Linked DNA regions of Saccharomyces cerevisiae S288C. Changing the gene in region 1 together with any one later gene gives a genetic interaction. Each region holds a gene or a part of one and is shown on either strand. Other genes may lie near its edges. The genes, in order: VPS72, GIM5, SDS3 and RPD3.

Region 1 (5,479 bases):
GTGGTATATACAAGGTTTTCTGGGACCAACCTGGGCCGCTGTACCTCTCTTTGGACAACAATGGGTTCCAACCTGCAGAAAACCACTCTACGAGGGTAACCGGGTTAGAGTTTCATTGGGACGATGCTCGGCGGCTAATGCTTCTATTATCATGTTCCACGGACTGGACGGTGCGGCTGTGGGACGCGCGAGCAGGGAAAGCTATCATAGGGGCGCCATTGTTGTTAGGGGGGCCCGTACTACGTGCACGCTGGCTCGAAAAAAACAATGGAGGGGAAAATAGTCGCACTCTACGGTGTCAAGTGTGGTGTGCAGATGGTCGCCTCGTTGTTGTAAATTGGGCTTTCGATGCTAAGACGTCCCTCTACACGGCCACTGTTATCTCCTAACGCCGCTTCGAGGCGGGTGAGCATAGGTTATTGCCTGATGAGTAATTTCTTAGCGAGAATTGATAAAAAAAAGCAAGGCTATTATTAATATACGTGCTATTGTGAAATTTTCATTGGCGTATATATGTGAGGTGAATGTAAATATCTCCAACAAAAAGCAGAAGGCTAAAAAAAAGGAAAGGAAAAGAAGAAAAGGCAACGTCGAAAATGTTTACACCAATTGATCAAGCTATAGAACACTTCAAGCAGAATAAGTTTGTAATTGTTATGGACGATGCCGGTCGTGAAAATGAAGGTGATCTTATTTGCGCTGCTGAAAATGTCAGCACTGAACAAATGGCCTTTCTTGTACGCCATTCCTCAGGCTACGTCTGTGCACCTATGACGAATGCCATTGCTGATAAGTTGGACCTTCCACTACTGAGAACAGGCATGAAGTTTGAATCCAATGATGACGACAGGCATGGAACTGCATACACAATAACTGTAGATGTAGCCCAAGGCACTACCACAGGTATTTCTGCTCACGACAGGTCGATGACTTGTAGGGCTCTTGCAGACTCTTCCTCTACGCCAAAATCATTTTTAAAACCAGGGCACATCTGTCCCTTGAGAGCCGCTGATGGCGGTGTTTTGCAGAGAAGAGGCCACACTGAGGCCGGTGTCGATTTGTGTAAACTAAGTGGACTAAGTCCCGTCGCTGTTATTGGCGAATTGGTTAACGATGACGAACAAGGAACTATGATGAGATTAAATGACTGCCAAGCGTTTGGTAAGAAACATGGCATTCCTTTGATCTCCATCGAAGAATTGGCCCAATATTTGAAGAAATAATCTGGTGAACATTTTCTCCATTCATTCTATCACAACAGACTCACACATATATACATGTATATATTTGTAACTTTGTATATATCTTTTGTTTTTTGACCTTTTTCTTCCTCTATGTTTTTCAGCCATACAAAAATATGGGATTTTTAGCAAGAGAAAAAGTACATCTAAAAAAAGTAGTAATAGGAGGAAGCCAAGATTGGTTGAAACACAGTTATAAACTCTTCAAGGCAATTATGAACAGGATTTTCGGATATGGGAACAAAAAGAGCCATGATCAGCTCTTACAAGAGTCGAATCAGTCCATGAATCAGGCCCAACAATCACTATCGAACAGAATATCCCAGTTAGATACTCAAATCGCCCAGTTAAACTTCCAGCTGCAAAATATTCAAAAGAATTTGCAAAGATCAAACAACAAGCAACCCTCGTTAAGAAAACAGGCTTTGAAGATTTTAAATAAACGTAAACAGTTAGAAAATATGAAGGATTCTTTAGATTCTCAATCCTGGTCCATGACGCAAGCCCAGTTAACAAATGATAACTTACAGAACACAATGATCACTATAAACGCACTAAAGCAAACAAACAATGCCATGAAGGCTCAATACGGCAAGATAAATATCGACAAACTACAGGACATGCAGGATGAGATGCTGGATTTAATAGAACAAGGGGATGAGCTGCAAGAAGTCTTGGCAATGAATAATAACAGTGGCGAGCTCGACGACATTAGTGATGCAGAGCTGGATGCAGAGCTGGATGCTCTGGCACAAGAGGATTTCACTTTGCCAACCAGCGAAAACTCATTAGGTAACGATATGCCCAGTTACTTACTAGGTGCGAATGCGCCACCGGCTTTTATTGATGAAGAGCCAAACTTAGATACTGAAGACAAAAATAAAGCTTTAGAAAGCGCTCAGTGAAAACAAAAAGCACACAAAGTTGCATATTCAGAATTTTTCTCTCCTTTCCCTTTTCTTTATATTCTCTTTGCTGGTAAGCCAAAATATGTACCTTATTTAGGTTTTAGTAGTTTTCTTTTTTCTTTGTTAAAAAAATCCTGATGGAAAAAACAGTAAGCAGAAAGCACCATGTAGTCTAATGAATACAAATAGAAGTGAAACCGAAGCAAATTCACAGTGCACGATGAGTGATGAAGGTGCTGATAAAAGTCTAGATACTAACACAGAATTTATTATACAAACACGATCTAGGAGGTCTAATGCCGGTAATAAATTACAAAAACTATTGGAGCAGGAGCTAAGAGATATAGAATCTACCAAAAGACAAATTTCTTCCTATAAGAATGGTAATGATGATGAAGAAGATGAAATAGGGCTGTTGTTTCAGGAAGATGAAGATGATGAAGATTTCGAAATGATGGCAAAAGATGACGATGATGAAGGGGAAGAAAAAGAAGATGAGACTCAAAGTATAAGGAAAGAGCCCTCTCAGGCTTCAAGTGAGCAAGCAGCCGATGACTTAATGTTCAGCAGTAGCGAATCTGAGGACTCCAGCAACGAGAATGATGAAGATGCAGAGGAAAAGGAAATACGAAGACAAGAACTACTTTCAAGAAAGAAAAGAAACAAGAGATTACAGAAGGGTCCCGTTGTAATCAAAAAACAAAAACCTAAGCCTAAGTCAGGAGAAGCTATACCAAGATCGCACCATACCCATGAACAATTAAACGCAGAGACGTTACTATTAAATACAAGGAGAACTTCTAAAAGATCATCGGTAATGGAAAACACGATGAAAGTTTATGAGAAATTGTCTAAAGCTGAAAAAAAGAGAAAAATTATACAAGAAAGAATAAGGAAACACAAGGAGCAGGAGTCTCAGCATATGCTGACACAAGAAGAGAGGCTACGGATTGCCAAGGAGACTGAGAAGCTGAATATTTTGTCACTGGATAAGTTCAAGGAACAAGAAGTTTGGAAAAAGGAGAATCGTCTAGCTTTGCAGAAAAGACAAAAGCAGAAATTCCAGCCAAATGAGACTATACTGCAATTTTTATCTACTGCTTGGCTAATGACGCCAGCGATGGAGTTAGAAGATCGTAAATATTGGCAGGAACAATTGAATAAACGTGATAAGAAGAAGAAAAAATATCCGAGGAAGCCAAAGAAGAATTTAAATCTCGGAAAACAGGACGCATCAGATGATAAAAAGCGGGAGAGTGAAGAATCGATAAAGAACGATGGCGACGTGAATTCTTTGGGTGAGAATTCTTCATCTGTACACAACCAGAAAAGGATTGAGGAAACTTCTACTAACGATACAGTTGAAGGAGAATCGAGTCCAGATGCAGCGGTGAGTAGAGTAAATTCAGACGAATTAAAGCCAACAGCATTACCTGATGTTACATTGGACGCAATTGCAAACAAGCAGAGTACCGTTGATGAAGCTCCCAACAGCCAACCACAAAAGAATATAATAACTAATGAGCAAAAAATTACCAATGTAGGCGAACCGATACAAAATTTACATAATGAAGAAATTAAAGATGAAATGGTAAGTGCTCTCGAGAGCAGGGAAAATACTTTTGAAAACTCATCACCTGCTGCCCAAGTGGTCTCACAAAGGGATAATTCTGCAACACCTACACCATCAAACTCCACTGGCACTGAAGATACTATATTGATCTCTCCGGATACGGATATAAAAGGAGAGCCTGAACCTTGTCTGAAAACCGAAGGCATCGAGAACTTATCTCATAATGTACCACAAGAGACCAAAAGCAATACTGATGTTTCTTTCTTGAAACAAGTAACGTTTACCGACCATCCGCAAGTGGCCATAATCGATACTGAAGAGTCACCCTCAAAAAAAGATACAGCTAATGTTGATGAATCTTCCGCGGAAAACTCTTTATCAACACAGACCTACGAAGGGCCTGAGCAATTAACCTCAAGGAACTTTGTTACACTTTATGATTTTCCTAATGCTCCTCCAAATCTAAAAGATTTTAACACAAACTTATTTGGTGATCGATGGTCATACACAAATGGGTTATCCGCCACTCAGCGTCCACAAGATATGAAAACTGTTTTCCACTCCATTTTACCATCACCTCCTCAGTCTTCAGTACCGTCTCCTACCGTAGATATATCACTTGATCTGTCAGCTCTGGCAAATTTCCCATCTTTTGGGGAATACGATAAGAAAATAGTCCATCAAATCAACACAGAGATAAATAAGGATTTGGAAATCAAAATTAAAACACAGCCTCCAACGGGTGTCTTCTTAGCCAATGGTATAAGAAAAAAATGTTTAATCACAAATAAAGAATGTCAGTACTTTGATCCAAGGACTGGTGTGCCTTATTCTGATGTGGAAGCTTATAAAATTATTCAGCGGATTCAAGATCCTATTTCTAAGGAGGAGGGAAGGTCAGATATCAAGCGTGATGAAACGACAAATGAGGATAGTGACGATCAAGTGAGATTCAAGTGGTTTGGGTTCAAAAACGGCGGTATTTACCTTGATTTAAGTCAAAGACCTGCAAAAGGTGTTCCTGAAGGATTTTAATTGAGACAGACTATATAATGGTAGGTCGTTAAACATTTGACTATATTCCACACAAAATAAGAAATCATAAAGATCATTTTACATAAAAATATACTTTATACGCTCCATGTCTTATACAATCGTTACATTCATCAATTTCTGGTGAAAGCTTCAACTAAAGTTTTGAAATGATTTTCGGTCTCTCTGATTATTAGTGGTACGCTTGAATCATTATCGTCGTCATTCGCAACTTTCGTACCAACATTTTCAGCAGAATCAAAATTGTAGTTTTGTGCATCCGAGTCATTTATATTTAAATGTAGATGCAATTGCTGTAGGTTATTGTATAAATACATGTAATTTGTAGCCAGAAATCTTTCTGGTGATTTCGTCTTTTTACTGCACTTTGTCATGACTGTTTCGAAATCATTTCTTAATCTAATGATGGAATTGTATAAGGGTTCAGATCTTTCGTCTATGGACTGCTTATGTGTTATTGCCAACGTCAAGAAGCTTGATAAAAATTTACCGAACTGTACAGTTAACTCATGAGGTGAGGTCAAAGGGCTACTATTGGATGTGCTTGAGTTGCCGGCATATTTTGCCACATTTGTAGTTATTGCCGCTTTTCGTAAGCTCTCGCATTGAAAATCGACCAATTGCTGAAATCGAGGCCATAATTGAATTAATTGACCATTCAAGAAACTATCAAACATAGACGGTATTCCTCTCCTTTCTGATTC
Region 2 (3,858 bases), on another chromosome or scaffold:
TAGTCCTCTTTCTCATCTCCTCGGGTGTCATTTTAGCAGTGCTCAACTCTTCAAACTTTGAGTCTTTTTCTGGGTTCGCTAAATTACTCTCTTGAAGAACTTGATCTACCTTCTCCTGTAATTCTGTTTGAGGAACATCTTGAGTTCTAGTGAAAGCCGAGGCGTGGTTATGTTCGGTGGGTTTGTTCAGCGGGAAGATTAAATGATCAGCCCTTCTGTTCTGTTGGACGATATCATTCCACTTACTCACTTCTTGCCTAGAGATCTCGTATGCTGCCTTACGATCGTGTCTTTGTTGGATACGTTGTGGTAGCGGAACTTCATACGTCGACGACTTACCCTTAAGCAAGTTAGCGTTTTCAATAACTTGCCTGTCATCAATAACGTTCATCATATCCGTCAAACTCAATTTCCCAGAAGCTCCACTAGCTGCATTTGCAGAGGGCAAAACATACTCATTGGCCTCACCTGAGCCATACGTATCTAGTCTCTTTGGAGCTTTACTTTTGGTTTCATCAATCAGTTTTGAGGTAATTGTATTCAATTCGATGTCTTCTTCATCTTCAGATATTTCGTCGAAGGGATCCTCTTCCTCTTCATCATCTTCAGATTCCGATTCGCTTTCTTCGGAACTGCTTGATTCGGAACTTATATCTGTATCTTGCAATTTTAATTGTGGAGAAGCGTCTTCGTCATCATTGCCGTTACTCTGTGCGGTTTTCTCATCCATGTCCCACACTTGAGACAGTGGCATCAAATCTTCTTCATCAATGGAAGTATACCCACCTTCATCCTCTTCTTCTTGGTAGTTTGCATTCTCCTTCTTGTCACGAATAGTTTGTGAGAATTTGGAATTCAAAATGTCATAGTCATCATCAGAGCCCAACGCTTCATCAGAGTTCAACTCCTCATCTTCAAACGACTCAGAATCGATATCATCTTCATCACTGTTAGTGTCACCTTTTGACCTTTTTAACAAGTTGACAACTGTACCATTACGACGAGCATCATGTCTTTTGTCATTGTCGCTGGAGTTATCGAATTCACCATTAATTTCTCTCTCAGCAAGTTGCAAAGCATCCAAAACTCTTCTAGAACTCTTGGATCTGCTCTTAGATTTCTTTTTTGCCATATTTAAGTTAGCTTATTTTGTCTTGAAGCCTCTTTTATTAGTATATAACAAGATGTTATTGAATGCACACTTAATGAATTTTTTCAGCTCATCGCCATAGGAATTTGAAAAATTTTCAATGGCCTTTTCCGGAAAACTACAAAGTGACGATAAATAAAAAATTACGTTGCATATAGATAAACGTATATCAGATGGCTACAAATGAGATATGAAAAATCGTAGGAAAAGCAAAAGAGTTACCTAGGCTGTAGACGACTCCTTTTTTTGTTGCTGCTGTTGTTGTTTACTCATCGCTTCATGCTGTCTAATAGCGGCTTGTCTTATTTGGGCCTCGATGGACAAGGAATACTGGGTCTTTTCCTTAATAATATCTTGGATCTGTACAGATTCTTTGTTAAGCTTGTCTACTTTCTTTTGGTAAAATGCGATTGCTGCTTCAGCGCTCTTTTCAACGTAATATCCTGTACCAATGTCGACCATGAATTTCTTATTGTCTACAATCTTACCTGGGATGTATAATGATGCAGATGCTGGAACCAGTAGTTTTTGCCCTTCATTTCCTGCTTGGGAGACTGTTTTAATATCATCAATACATTCTGTGAACTTGCCCTTAGCCATGGTTAATGCTTGCAAGGACTGTGTGAAATGCTGCAATTCTTGGTCGAATTGCTGTTTTACAGCATTCAGCTGCTCGGGATTTAGTTTAGTTAAATCGACTAAGTTTCGAACATGTAGTAACTTAAAAGTTAGTAAAGTGTCTGTACGGTGGCAACAACGAAGGAGCTATTCATTTACATACTTTTTTGAGAGGACATGGCTTGATTTTTACAGTGCTCTTTCTTGTTTGGGTCACAGCAAGATTTTCATCTAAGACACTTTTCTATTTAAAATCGTTAGAACAAAAAAGAAAATTGTAACTTATGAGACAGCCACGCAACACAAAAAAGGGCATAAACAAAGTTGGTTATCCTAGAAGATGAACAATACTGATCCTACTTCATTTGAAAGTATATTGGCTGGTGTGGCCAAATTGAGAAAGGAAAAGAGTGGTGCAGATACTACTGGATCTCAATCGTTAGAAATAGATGCATCAAAACTCCAGCAGCAGGAACCGCAAACATCAAGACGCATAAATTCAAACCAGGTCATAAACGCCTTCAATCAGCAAAAACCGGAAGAATGGACCGACTCAAAGGCTACAGATGACTATAATCGAAAGAGACCCTTCAGGAGTACTCGACCGGGAAAAACTGTACTAGTGAACACTACCCAAAAAGAAAATCCACTCCTGAACCACTTAAAGAGCACCAATTGGAGATATGTATCTTCAACAGGAATTAATATGATATACTACGACTATCTAGTTCGTGGAAGAAGTGTACTGTTCTTAACTTTGACTTATCACAAATTATATGTCGATTATATCTCTAGGAGAATGCAGCCCTTATCTAGAAACGAAAATAATATACTGATATTCATAGTAGACGATAACAACTCTGAAGATACCCTTAATGACATTACAAAACTATGTATGTTCAACGGATTTACTCTACTTTTAGCATTTAATTTTGAACAAGCTGCAAAATATATTGAATATTTGAATTTATGAACAATTCCTATTTTCTTTTAATAAATCTGTTCCATGCTTATTACCATCCTTTGTCATTTTAGCGCTTTTAGCACCGAATTGAATGGCCCTTTTTGGTTCTGATGATATTCCATCCAACTTCAAATACTGCGAGGCAACTTTTCGAAGGATTAATTTGTTAACCTTGAAATTAATGGGAATTTCTGCTGTAGATAACTTTATAACATATTCATCTAAAAATGGGTATCTCACCTCCACGCCATTATGAGCTATCACTTTATCATCACGATTCAGGTTGCGATCATAAATGTTGTTTATTTGCCTTGTAAGTTCCTCCACAAGTTCATGGGGTGGTTTGTTGGCAAACTTGTGATATCCACCGTAGAGTTCGTCTGCTCCCAGTCCGCTGAATAACACTATCCCATGGCGCTGATATGGCGTTCTTTCCCCATTCAGAGAAGTTAAGAAACCTCTACCTCTCGACGCAAAAAAAAAAGCAATGGCTATAGACAAGTCCATTTCAGTCTGTTTAGGATACATTAAATTGATAACAAATGGCTTCCATTTTAAATACTCATCATAAGGAACGTCAACTTCAACCAGTTTGATATCAACATTAGGATATAAGTTTTGTAAAGTCTTTGCACTGTTAATGGACAGTTTTCTATCAGGTGTATCACTGGGAAAAAGACCAGTCCTGGGGTTTTCGAAGGATACATTTAGAAGCTCTATAACTGGTTTTCCACATTTATAATCATTTTCTTGCAACACCTCGCAGATCAACGCTACTATTACTGAACAATCAATTCCTCCTGAGAATAGTACCGCAATAGGAGAGTTTTCAATATGCCTGGGATGTATGGACTCTACCCTTTTTTTTACAGAATCACGTAGCACAGCATATAAATTTTTAGACACCTCTGACAATGATGTGAAATTCAGATCTATCTCTGATGTCACTTCGTATGGAAGATGTGACCTCTGATTGGAATTTAACAACTTAGTTCGTGTATCATATTCATAAATAACTCCACCTATACAATCTTGAAAGGACCCAGCAGACCCCGTTACACTAGCGACGTACAATTCGTTGTCTGGAGTGACCGAATAAGACAAACTTCGCCTGCCAATTGGATCT
Region 3 (4,033 bases), on another chromosome or scaffold:
ATGAACGTTCAGGGTGACGTATTGTCATACTGACATATCTCATTTTGAGATACAACATGTTCCATGATATGGAAAAACGTATACCAGTGCTACAAACCCTGTTAACAATTAAATTCTTATTACTTCTTGCACAAAGATGCTAACACTTTACAGCTTTGAAAGTAACAGGAAGAAGTGATGCTGTGACAATTAACAGGGTATTTTTTTTTTCACTTCTACTTAAATCGGAGTTACAATTTATGATAAAAAAATCAAGAAAAAAACCTGATTATGCTAAGAAAGTAGAGGCGACGATGACCACCTATGGCCTAACCTAACTATGAACAGATGGTAGGCTCTAAATTGCGTGCCTGAAATCTGCGGATTTGATATGTAGGCGATGTTTTGGGTATTTTCCACCAACTTTATTGGCAAGGGAAGAATTCGATGACCCGAATTCGCCAAACGACAAAAACTGGAGGAGTGACCTATTGTTAACGTTTTTTTTTTTTTTTTAAAGGCATTGTCATCAACAGGACATCTGTATAAGAGGCTAAGACAATTACGCACACAACGCTTTTATTAGTTGTCATAAACTGTGTAGATTAGCAGCAGACACTCCTTTTTTTCTTCATACTATAGCAATGCCACCTCTACCCGTGCTCAACAGACCTCAAATTCATACGTCTGTTACTGAAATAAGTCATGCAATTGATCGTACAATCAAGGAAGAGCTCTTTCCCGTTGCCTACACTACTGAAGAAGAGCAATATTTCAAAACTAACCCTAAACCTGCCTATATCGATGAATTGATTAAGGACGCTAAAGAGTTTATTGATTTGCAGTATTCCCTGAAAAGGAACAAAATAGTTCTTATCACCTCTGGTGGTACTACTGTTCCATTGGAAAACAATACAGTACGTTTTATCGATAATTTTTCTGCAGGTACTCGTGGTGCATCGAGTGCTGAACAGTTCTTAGCGAACGGATATAGTGTTATTTTCTTACATAGGGAATTCTCATTAACTCCGTATAATAGGTCCTTCTCCCATAGCATTAATACTTTATTCTTGGACTACATTGATTCTGAAGGTAAAATCAAACCTGAATTTGCTGAGAATGTTTTGAAGAACAAAAAGCTTTATGACAAGTATATGGAGAAAGAGGAGAAACTACTTTTACTACCATTCACCACGGTCAACCAATACTTATGGTCACTGAAAAGTATAGCCAAGCTATTGAATAATAGTGGTTGCTTGTTTTATTTAGCTGCTGCTGTCAGTGATTTTTTTGTTCCATATTCAAGACTACCTCAGCACAAGATTCAATCAGGAGACAACGGTAAGATGGGAGCAAATAATGACACTGAAGGTACAACTAGGACTACGCCTGATGGTAAACTGATTGTGAATCTTGACCCTGTCCCTAAGTTTTTGAGAAGATTAGTGGAATCATGGGCCACTCAAGCGATGATCGTTTCGTTCAAATTAGAAACTGATGAATCCATGCTGCTTTACAAATGTACACAAGCCCTGGATAGATACAACCATCAACTGGTTATCGGAAACCTTTTACAGACAAGAAACAAACAGGTCATTTTCGTATCCCCTGAAAACAGAAAGGGAGATTGGGTACGTTTGGATGAAAAACACCATAGCATTGAAGAGATGATAATCCCAGAAGTCATCGCACGCCATGACAAATGGGTGGCGCATTCGAAAACTAAGCTAGCTACGAAATAAAACATAGCTCTTGTCTGTAATCAAAAAAATTTGCGTCAAAAAAAAAAATTAGATGTATGTAAACCTTTTTATTGAACTGAAAATTTATCTTTTATCAAATCTTTTTCTTCTATGCCTTAATTATGTTTTCAGGTATCTTTTTTCTCATTATTTAATTTAGCTTATGTATTGATCATTTCGCTTGAGATTTCAGGAAGAAAAAACGCAAACAATTTTTCAGCTAAAATGAACCCTTGGAAAAGCTTTAAGAGAACAAGAGAAACTGTAGAGCTCAGTGTGCATTGTCTTCAAGATTGATGGCTATTCAAAAGGTTAGTAACAAGGACTTGTCCCGCAAGGACAAAAGAAGATTTAATATCGAATCTAAAGTTAATAAGATTTATCAAAATTTTTACTCAGAAAGAGATAATCAATATAAAGATAGACTGACAGCATTGCAAACGGATTTAACTTCTCTGCATCAAGGTGATAATGGCCAATATGCCCGCCAAGTACGAGATTTGGAGGAAGAAAGAGATCTAGAGTTAGTCAGGTTGCGCCTGTTTGAAGAGTACCGTGTTTCTCGTTCCGGTATCGAATTTCAAGAAGATATTGAAAAGGCTAAGGCTGAACACGAGAAACTCATTAAATTATGCAAAGAAAGACTGTATTCGTCTATAGAGCAAAAAATAAAGAAATTACAGGAGGAGAGGTTACTAATGGATGTGGCCAATGTGCACTCCTATGCCATGAATTATAGCAGACCGCAATACCAGAAGAACACGAGAAGTCACACAGTAAGTGGTTGGGATTCTTCGTCCAACGAATATGGAAGAGATACAGCAAACGAAAGTGCTACTGACACGGGAGCTGGAAACGATAGAAGAACGCTAAGGAGAAGGAATGCTTCTAAAGACACGAGAGGTAACAACAACAATCAAGATGAATCTGATTTTCAAACTGGTAATGGTTCTGGAAGTAATGGCCATGGTTCTAGACAAGGGTCGCAATTCCCCCATTTCAACAACCTAACCTACAAGTCAGGCATGAACTCTGACTCAGATTTTCTACAAGGTATAAATGAAGGTACTGATCTATATGCATTTTTGTTTGGCGAAAAGAACCCCAAAGACAATGCTAATGGGAATGAAAAGAAAAAAAACCGTGGTGCTCAACGATATTCCACCAAAACAGCTCCACCTTTACAGTCTTTGAAACCAGATGAGGTCACAGAGGATATTTCCTTGATCAGAGAATTAACAGGTCAGCCTCCGGCTCCTTTCAGACTAAGGTCTGACTAATTTATTTTATGCTGCAAACCTTCCACTTTAACTTTGTATTATATTACATTAGATGGTTATATTTCAATGTGAGCTCTTTTTGTTTTTGCTTTCTTTTCTCGGATACAAGTGGAAAACGAAAAAAAAAAATTGGCTAAAATTTACTGTATACATCAGGCTAACAATCTGTGATTATAGGCACAGTTGTACCAAAGAAGGGCTAGAATATACATCATAATTAGATGCAATTAGCATGGCTATAAGATTGAATCCAAAAGTCAGAAGGTTCTTGCTGGATAAGTGTCGACAAAAACGATATGGTTTCCTCTTTTTAGGATGTATCTTCGCCATACTTTACTGTATGGGGACCTGGCCATTTTTCGCAAAAGATATTGTACATGATCCAAATAATTTGCCTTATTCCTTACAGGATTATTCGACTGACAAAGACGAGCCATTTTTCCGGGGCTGCACTGATACAAAGCTGTACTTGCAAAATCCTGCTTACTCCAAAATGAACGCATCTTTCGTTATGCTAACGAGAAACGAAGAAATAGAAGACGTACTGAAAACTATGAGAAGTATAGAGGGCCATTTCAATAAGTGGTTCAAATATCCGTACGTTTTCTTGAATGATGACCCCTTTACAGATCATTTTAAGGACCAAATTCAAGCTGCAACTAATGCCACTGTAGAGTTTGGCACTGTTGATGAAATTATGTGGGAGTTTCCTGCTAAGGTTCGTAATTCATTGCAGTTTAAGGCTTCATTAGAAGACCAAAACGATCGCGGTATAATGTATGGTAATATGGAATCATATCACAAGATGTGTCGATTTTACTCCGGGATCTTTTATAAACATCCATTAGTTTCCAAGTATGAATGGTATTGGAGAATAGAACCTGATGTGGACTTTTTTTGTGACATCTCGTATGATCCCTTTTTCGAGATGGCCAAACATAACAAGAAATATGGGTTTACCGTACTTATAACTGAACTGTACTGGACTGTCCCCAACTTGTTCAGAACAACCAAAAGCTTTATAAAAAAAAC
Region 4 (4,348 bases), on another chromosome or scaffold:
TTCCACTACAAACAATGTGGGCAAGGCTACAATGGTGAGATTTGCTTCAAAATATCTTGGTATACATCTACTGGAGATAGATTGCCTTTCGCTCACTTCAAATTCAAGACAACTGGATTCAACATCTAAGATTATTGGTTACATTAGGGCTAAATGTGAAAATGTCCTACCGTACGCATCACCTGCTGTGATTTTTTTGGCTCATTTGGATTCAATTTTGCTTGACGTAAACGCTAATCAAGATCCAGAGGCAATCAAATTACAAAAATCTATAAACTTCGAAATGTCTAAACTTCTGGACGATTTTACGTTTAAATTCCCAGGAACTACATTTGTTGGCTCCGTAAATAACATAGATAACGTGCCTTCCAGCTTTAGATCACATATGAGATTTGAGATTCTCGTACCCGTTCCGTCTGAAGCACAGAGACTGCGTATCTTTCAGTGGTACTTATCTTCACATGAACTAAACAGAGATGTTCAACAAAAGGTTCCAGTATCTTACATGGATAATATTTCATTTTCATCACTCTCTTCATATTCTGCTGGTTTAACTCCTTTAGACATCAAATCAATTGTGGAAACGGCACGAATGACGGCTACTGCGCGTTTTTACCAAGAATCAAAGAAGTGTGGATGGCTTCCGCAATCAATTTTGATCACTCAGGAGGATTTATCAAAAGCTACTTCGAAAGCTAGGAACGAATTCTCGGTTTCGATTGGTGCCCCACAAATCCCTAACGTAACTTGGGATGATATAGGTGGTATTGATTTTGTTAAAGGTGAAATATTGGACACAATAGACATGCCGCTAAAACATCCTGAATTATTTACCTCAGGTATGAAAAAGAGAAGCGGTATTCTTTTTTATGGTCCACCGGGTACAGGTAAAACTCTAATGGCTAAGGCCATTGCAACAAATTTTTCTTTAAATTTTTTTAGTGTTAAAGGCCCTGAACTGTTGAATATGTACATTGGTGAGAGTGAAGCTAATGTGCGCAGAGTGTTTCAAAAGGCGAGAGAGGCTAAACCTTGTGTCATATTTTTCGATGAAATCGATTCAGTAGCACCCAAACGTGGTAATCAAGGTGATTCGGGTGGTGTTATGGATCGTATCGTTTCACAGTTACTAGCAGAGTTAGATGGTATGAGTACCGACGCTGACGGTGTATTTGTTATCGGAGCAACAAACAGACCAGACTTATTGGACGAAGCACTACTAAGACCAGGACGATTCGATAAATTGTTATATTTAGGCATTCCGGATACGGATACCAAACAATTGAATATTTTAGAGGCTCTGACTCGCAAATTCGTGCTCGACAACGACGTAAAGCTTATTGAGTTGGCAAAGCTATGTCCATTTAATTACACCGGGGCAGATTTTTATGCTCTCTGCTCAGATGCAATGCTTAACGCCATGTCAAGAATTGCACGCATGGTAGAAAAAAAAGTTTCTCAGCATAACGAATTGACGGGAGAGAATATTTCTACACGTCGCTGGTTTGATAAGATTGCGACAAAAGAGGATACTAAGGTTGTCGTAAAAATGGAAGACTTCTTGAAAGCACAAGAGCAGCTCACCCCAAGTGTGTCGCGGGCTGAACTGAATCATTATGAAGCGGTGAGAGCTAATTTTGAAGGTGCTTAAGTAATATCAACTCAGAGCGTATAGGTAAATTTGTAAATATATGTCCCATATTTTGCCTTGAAATTTATCTTTTTATTTACTTACCCTCCCCGGCTCATAGTATCTATCGAAAGGGAAAAACAGAAAAGATACTAGTAGTTGATTATACATAATAAAAATTTGAAGTAATAACCATAAAGGTTCATAAAACAATTGCGCCATACAAAACATTCGTGGCTACAACTCGATATCCGTGCAGATGGTATATGAAGCAACACCTTTTGATCCGATCACGGTCAAGCCAAGCGATAAAAGACGCGTTGCATATTTTTACGATGCAGACGTTGGGAACTATGCATATGGAGCAGGTCACCCGATGAAGCCGCATAGAATAAGAATGGCACATTCCCTTATTATGAATTATGGCTTGTACAAGAAGATGGAAATTTACAGAGCTAAGCCGGCAACGAAACAAGAAATGTGTCAGTTCCATACTGATGAATACATTGATTTTTTATCGAGGGTTACTCCAGATAATTTAGAAATGTTTAAAAGAGAAAGTGTCAAGTTTAATGTCGGAGATGATTGTCCTGTCTTTGATGGGCTCTATGAGTACTGTAGCATATCTGGTGGTGGCTCTATGGAAGGAGCTGCTCGTCTGAATAGAGGCAAATGTGATGTTGCTGTCAACTATGCGGGTGGTTTGCATCATGCAAAAAAATCGGAAGCTTCTGGGTTTTGTTATTTAAATGACATAGTACTGGGCATTATTGAGCTACTACGATACCACCCCAGAGTTCTGTATATTGATATTGATGTGCACCATGGTGATGGTGTAGAGGAAGCGTTTTATACAACGGATCGTGTCATGACATGTTCTTTCCACAAATATGGTGAGTTTTTCCCTGGCACAGGTGAACTGAGAGATATAGGGGTGGGTGCAGGAAAAAACTACGCGGTCAATGTGCCATTAAGAGACGGTATTGACGATGCTACGTATAGATCTGTGTTTGAACCTGTGATAAAAAAAATTATGGAATGGTATCAACCTTCTGCTGTCGTGTTACAGTGTGGTGGGGACTCCTTGTCCGGCGATCGTCTTGGTTGCTTTAATCTTTCCATGGAAGGCCATGCTAATTGTGTAAACTATGTGAAATCCTTTGGGATCCCAATGATGGTTGTTGGTGGAGGAGGCTATACTATGAGAAATGTTGCAAGGACATGGTGCTTTGAAACAGGTCTACTAAATAACGTTGTCTTGGATAAAGATTTACCGTACAATGAATATTACGAATATTACGGTCCAGATTATAAGTTAAGTGTTAGACCTTCGAATATGTTCAATGTAAATACTCCCGAATATCTTGACAAGGTAATGACCAATATATTTGCTAATTTGGAAAACACAAAGTATGCCCCTAGTGTTCAGTTGAATCACACACCTAGGGATGCCGAAGATTTGGGTGATGTTGAAGAAGATTCTGCCGAGGCTAAAGATACGAAGGGTGGTTCGCAATATGCGAGGGACCTACATGTTGAGCATGACAATGAATTCTATTGAAAAAAAGAGTTGGAAGTATATACGAATATAAATAATGTGAAACAAAAGAAGAAAAGTGAATAAAAGGCACTTAAGACGCTATCCAATTGTGTATGAGAAGTGCAAACTCAATTTTTTTGCAAAAGACTTTTCTCAAACCTTTAATTGATGCGTTCCGTTCATACATCAACCGCGTCCCATACGTTTCGAAGAAAATTGCCTATATGTGTTATTTACATACTAGAGATATTTTAATATTGAAACAGTTGTATTTCTATTGTAATTACTATCTAAACGTCTCGTCCCACCGCTGTTGATAAAGCGGTGCCAATATAATTTATAATCACGCCTGGGTAAATGACTTTTAATTTCTTAAATCATCGAAGTATGCGAAAACAAGAAGTCTTTATTCATAATAAAAAACAAATTCGGTTACTACGACTTTTATATGTCATTCAATATTTGGTAATAATTTTACAGTATTAACCCTATCCTCATCTGATTCACTCTCTTCTAATTGCATATATTTTCAAATTCGCTTTCAGCGCTGTACAAAACCAGTAAGCAGATCTCGTACGAAGACTCAAATAAGTTGCATTGTTCGTATTCAAGGAAACCGGGGGGCAAAATTTCCAACCATATTTAAGTATGACAATATTTCCAAGTCAAGGATGCATGCTGTTCTTCTCTTCATTAACTAGCTAACCAATTAGCTGAACGGCTTTGTATTTTACTTAACATATTGTCTATTGCATAAAAAACCACTATTCAGCATGACTGACTTGTTTAAACCTCTACCTGAACCACCTACCGAATTGGGACGTCTCAGGGTTCTTTCTAAAACTGCCGGCATAAGGGTTTCACCGCTAATTCTGGGAGGAGCTTCAATCGGCGACGCATGGTCAGGCTTTATGGGCTCTATGAATAAGGAACAGGCCTTTGAACTTCTTGATGCTTTTTATGAAGCTGGAGGTAATTGTATTGATACTGCAAACAGTTACCAAAATGAAGAGTCAGAGATTTGGATAGGTGAATGGATGGCATCAAGAAAACTGCGTGACCAGATTGTAATTGCCACCAAGTTTACCGGAGATTATAAGAAGTATGAAGTAGGTGGTGGTAAAAGTGCCAACTACTGTGGTAATCACAAGCGTAGTTTACATGTGAGTGTGAGGGAT

What was found.
Region 2: mutations in VPS72 (region 1) and GIM5 together harm fitness more than expected from each alone (negative genetic interaction), as found in Saccharomyces cerevisiae (8 studies listed by BioGRID, with this or other methods).
Region 3: mutations in VPS72 (region 1) and SDS3 together harm fitness more than expected from each alone (negative genetic interaction), as found in Saccharomyces cerevisiae (5 studies listed by BioGRID, with this or other methods).
Region 4: mutations in VPS72 (region 1) and RPD3 together harm fitness more than expected from each alone (negative genetic interaction), as found in Saccharomyces cerevisiae (5 studies listed by BioGRID, with this or other methods).

Annotation. Positions count from the first base shown.
Region 1 is NC_001136.10:1,424,098-1,429,576, reverse strand, and holds VPS72 (Vps72p), read left to right. Parts: upstream 1-2,369; coding exon 2,370-4,757; downstream 4,758-5,479. Other genes in the region: PAC11 (dynein intermediate chain), read left to right, coding at 1-389; 3,4-dihydroxy-2-butanone-4-phosphate synthase RIB3, read left to right, coding at 597-1,223; VPS60 (Vps60p), read left to right, coding at 1,457-2,146; VPS52 (Vps52p), read right to left, coding at 4,889-5,479. UniProt on the Saccharomyces cerevisiae protein: Participates in the catalytic exchange of histone H2A for the H2A variant HTZ1, an euchromatin-specific factor, leading to chromatin remodeling and changes in transcription of targeted genes. Indirectly involved in vacuolar protein sorting.
Region 2 is NC_001145.3:80,364-84,221, reverse strand, and holds GIM5 (Gim5p), read right to left. Parts: upstream 1,948-3,858; coding exon 1,932-1,947; intron 1,849-1,931; coding exon 1,373-1,848; downstream 1-1,372. Other genes in the region: UTP14 (Utp14p), read right to left, coding at 1-1,132; DNA repair protein RAD10, read left to right, coding at 2,109-2,741; YML096W (putative asparagine synthase), read right to left, coding at 2,736-3,858.
Region 3 is NC_001141.2:201,244-205,276, reverse strand, and holds SDS3 (Sds3p), read left to right. Parts: upstream 1-2,017; coding exon 2,018-3,001; downstream 3,002-4,033. Other genes in the region: phosphopantothenate--cysteine ligase CAB2, read left to right, coding at 624-1,721; KTR7 (putative mannosyltransferase), read left to right, coding at 3,234-4,033. UniProt on the Saccharomyces cerevisiae protein: Component of the RPD3C(L) histone deacetylase complex (HDAC) responsible for the deacetylation of lysine residues on the N-terminal part of the core histones (H2A, H2B, H3 and H4).
Region 4 is NC_001146.8:16,844-21,191, reverse strand, and holds RPD3 (histone deacetylase RPD3), read left to right. Parts: upstream 1-1,889; coding exon 1,890-3,191; downstream 3,192-4,348. Other genes in the region: PEX6 (AAA family ATPase peroxin 6), read left to right, coding at 1-1,651; AAD14 (putative aryl-alcohol dehydrogenase), read left to right, coding at 3,944-4,348. UniProt on the Saccharomyces cerevisiae protein: Catalytic component of the RPD3 histone deacetylase (HDAC) complexes RPD3C(L) and RPD3C(S) responsible for the deacetylation of lysine residues on the N-terminal part of the core histones (H2A, H2B, H3 and H4).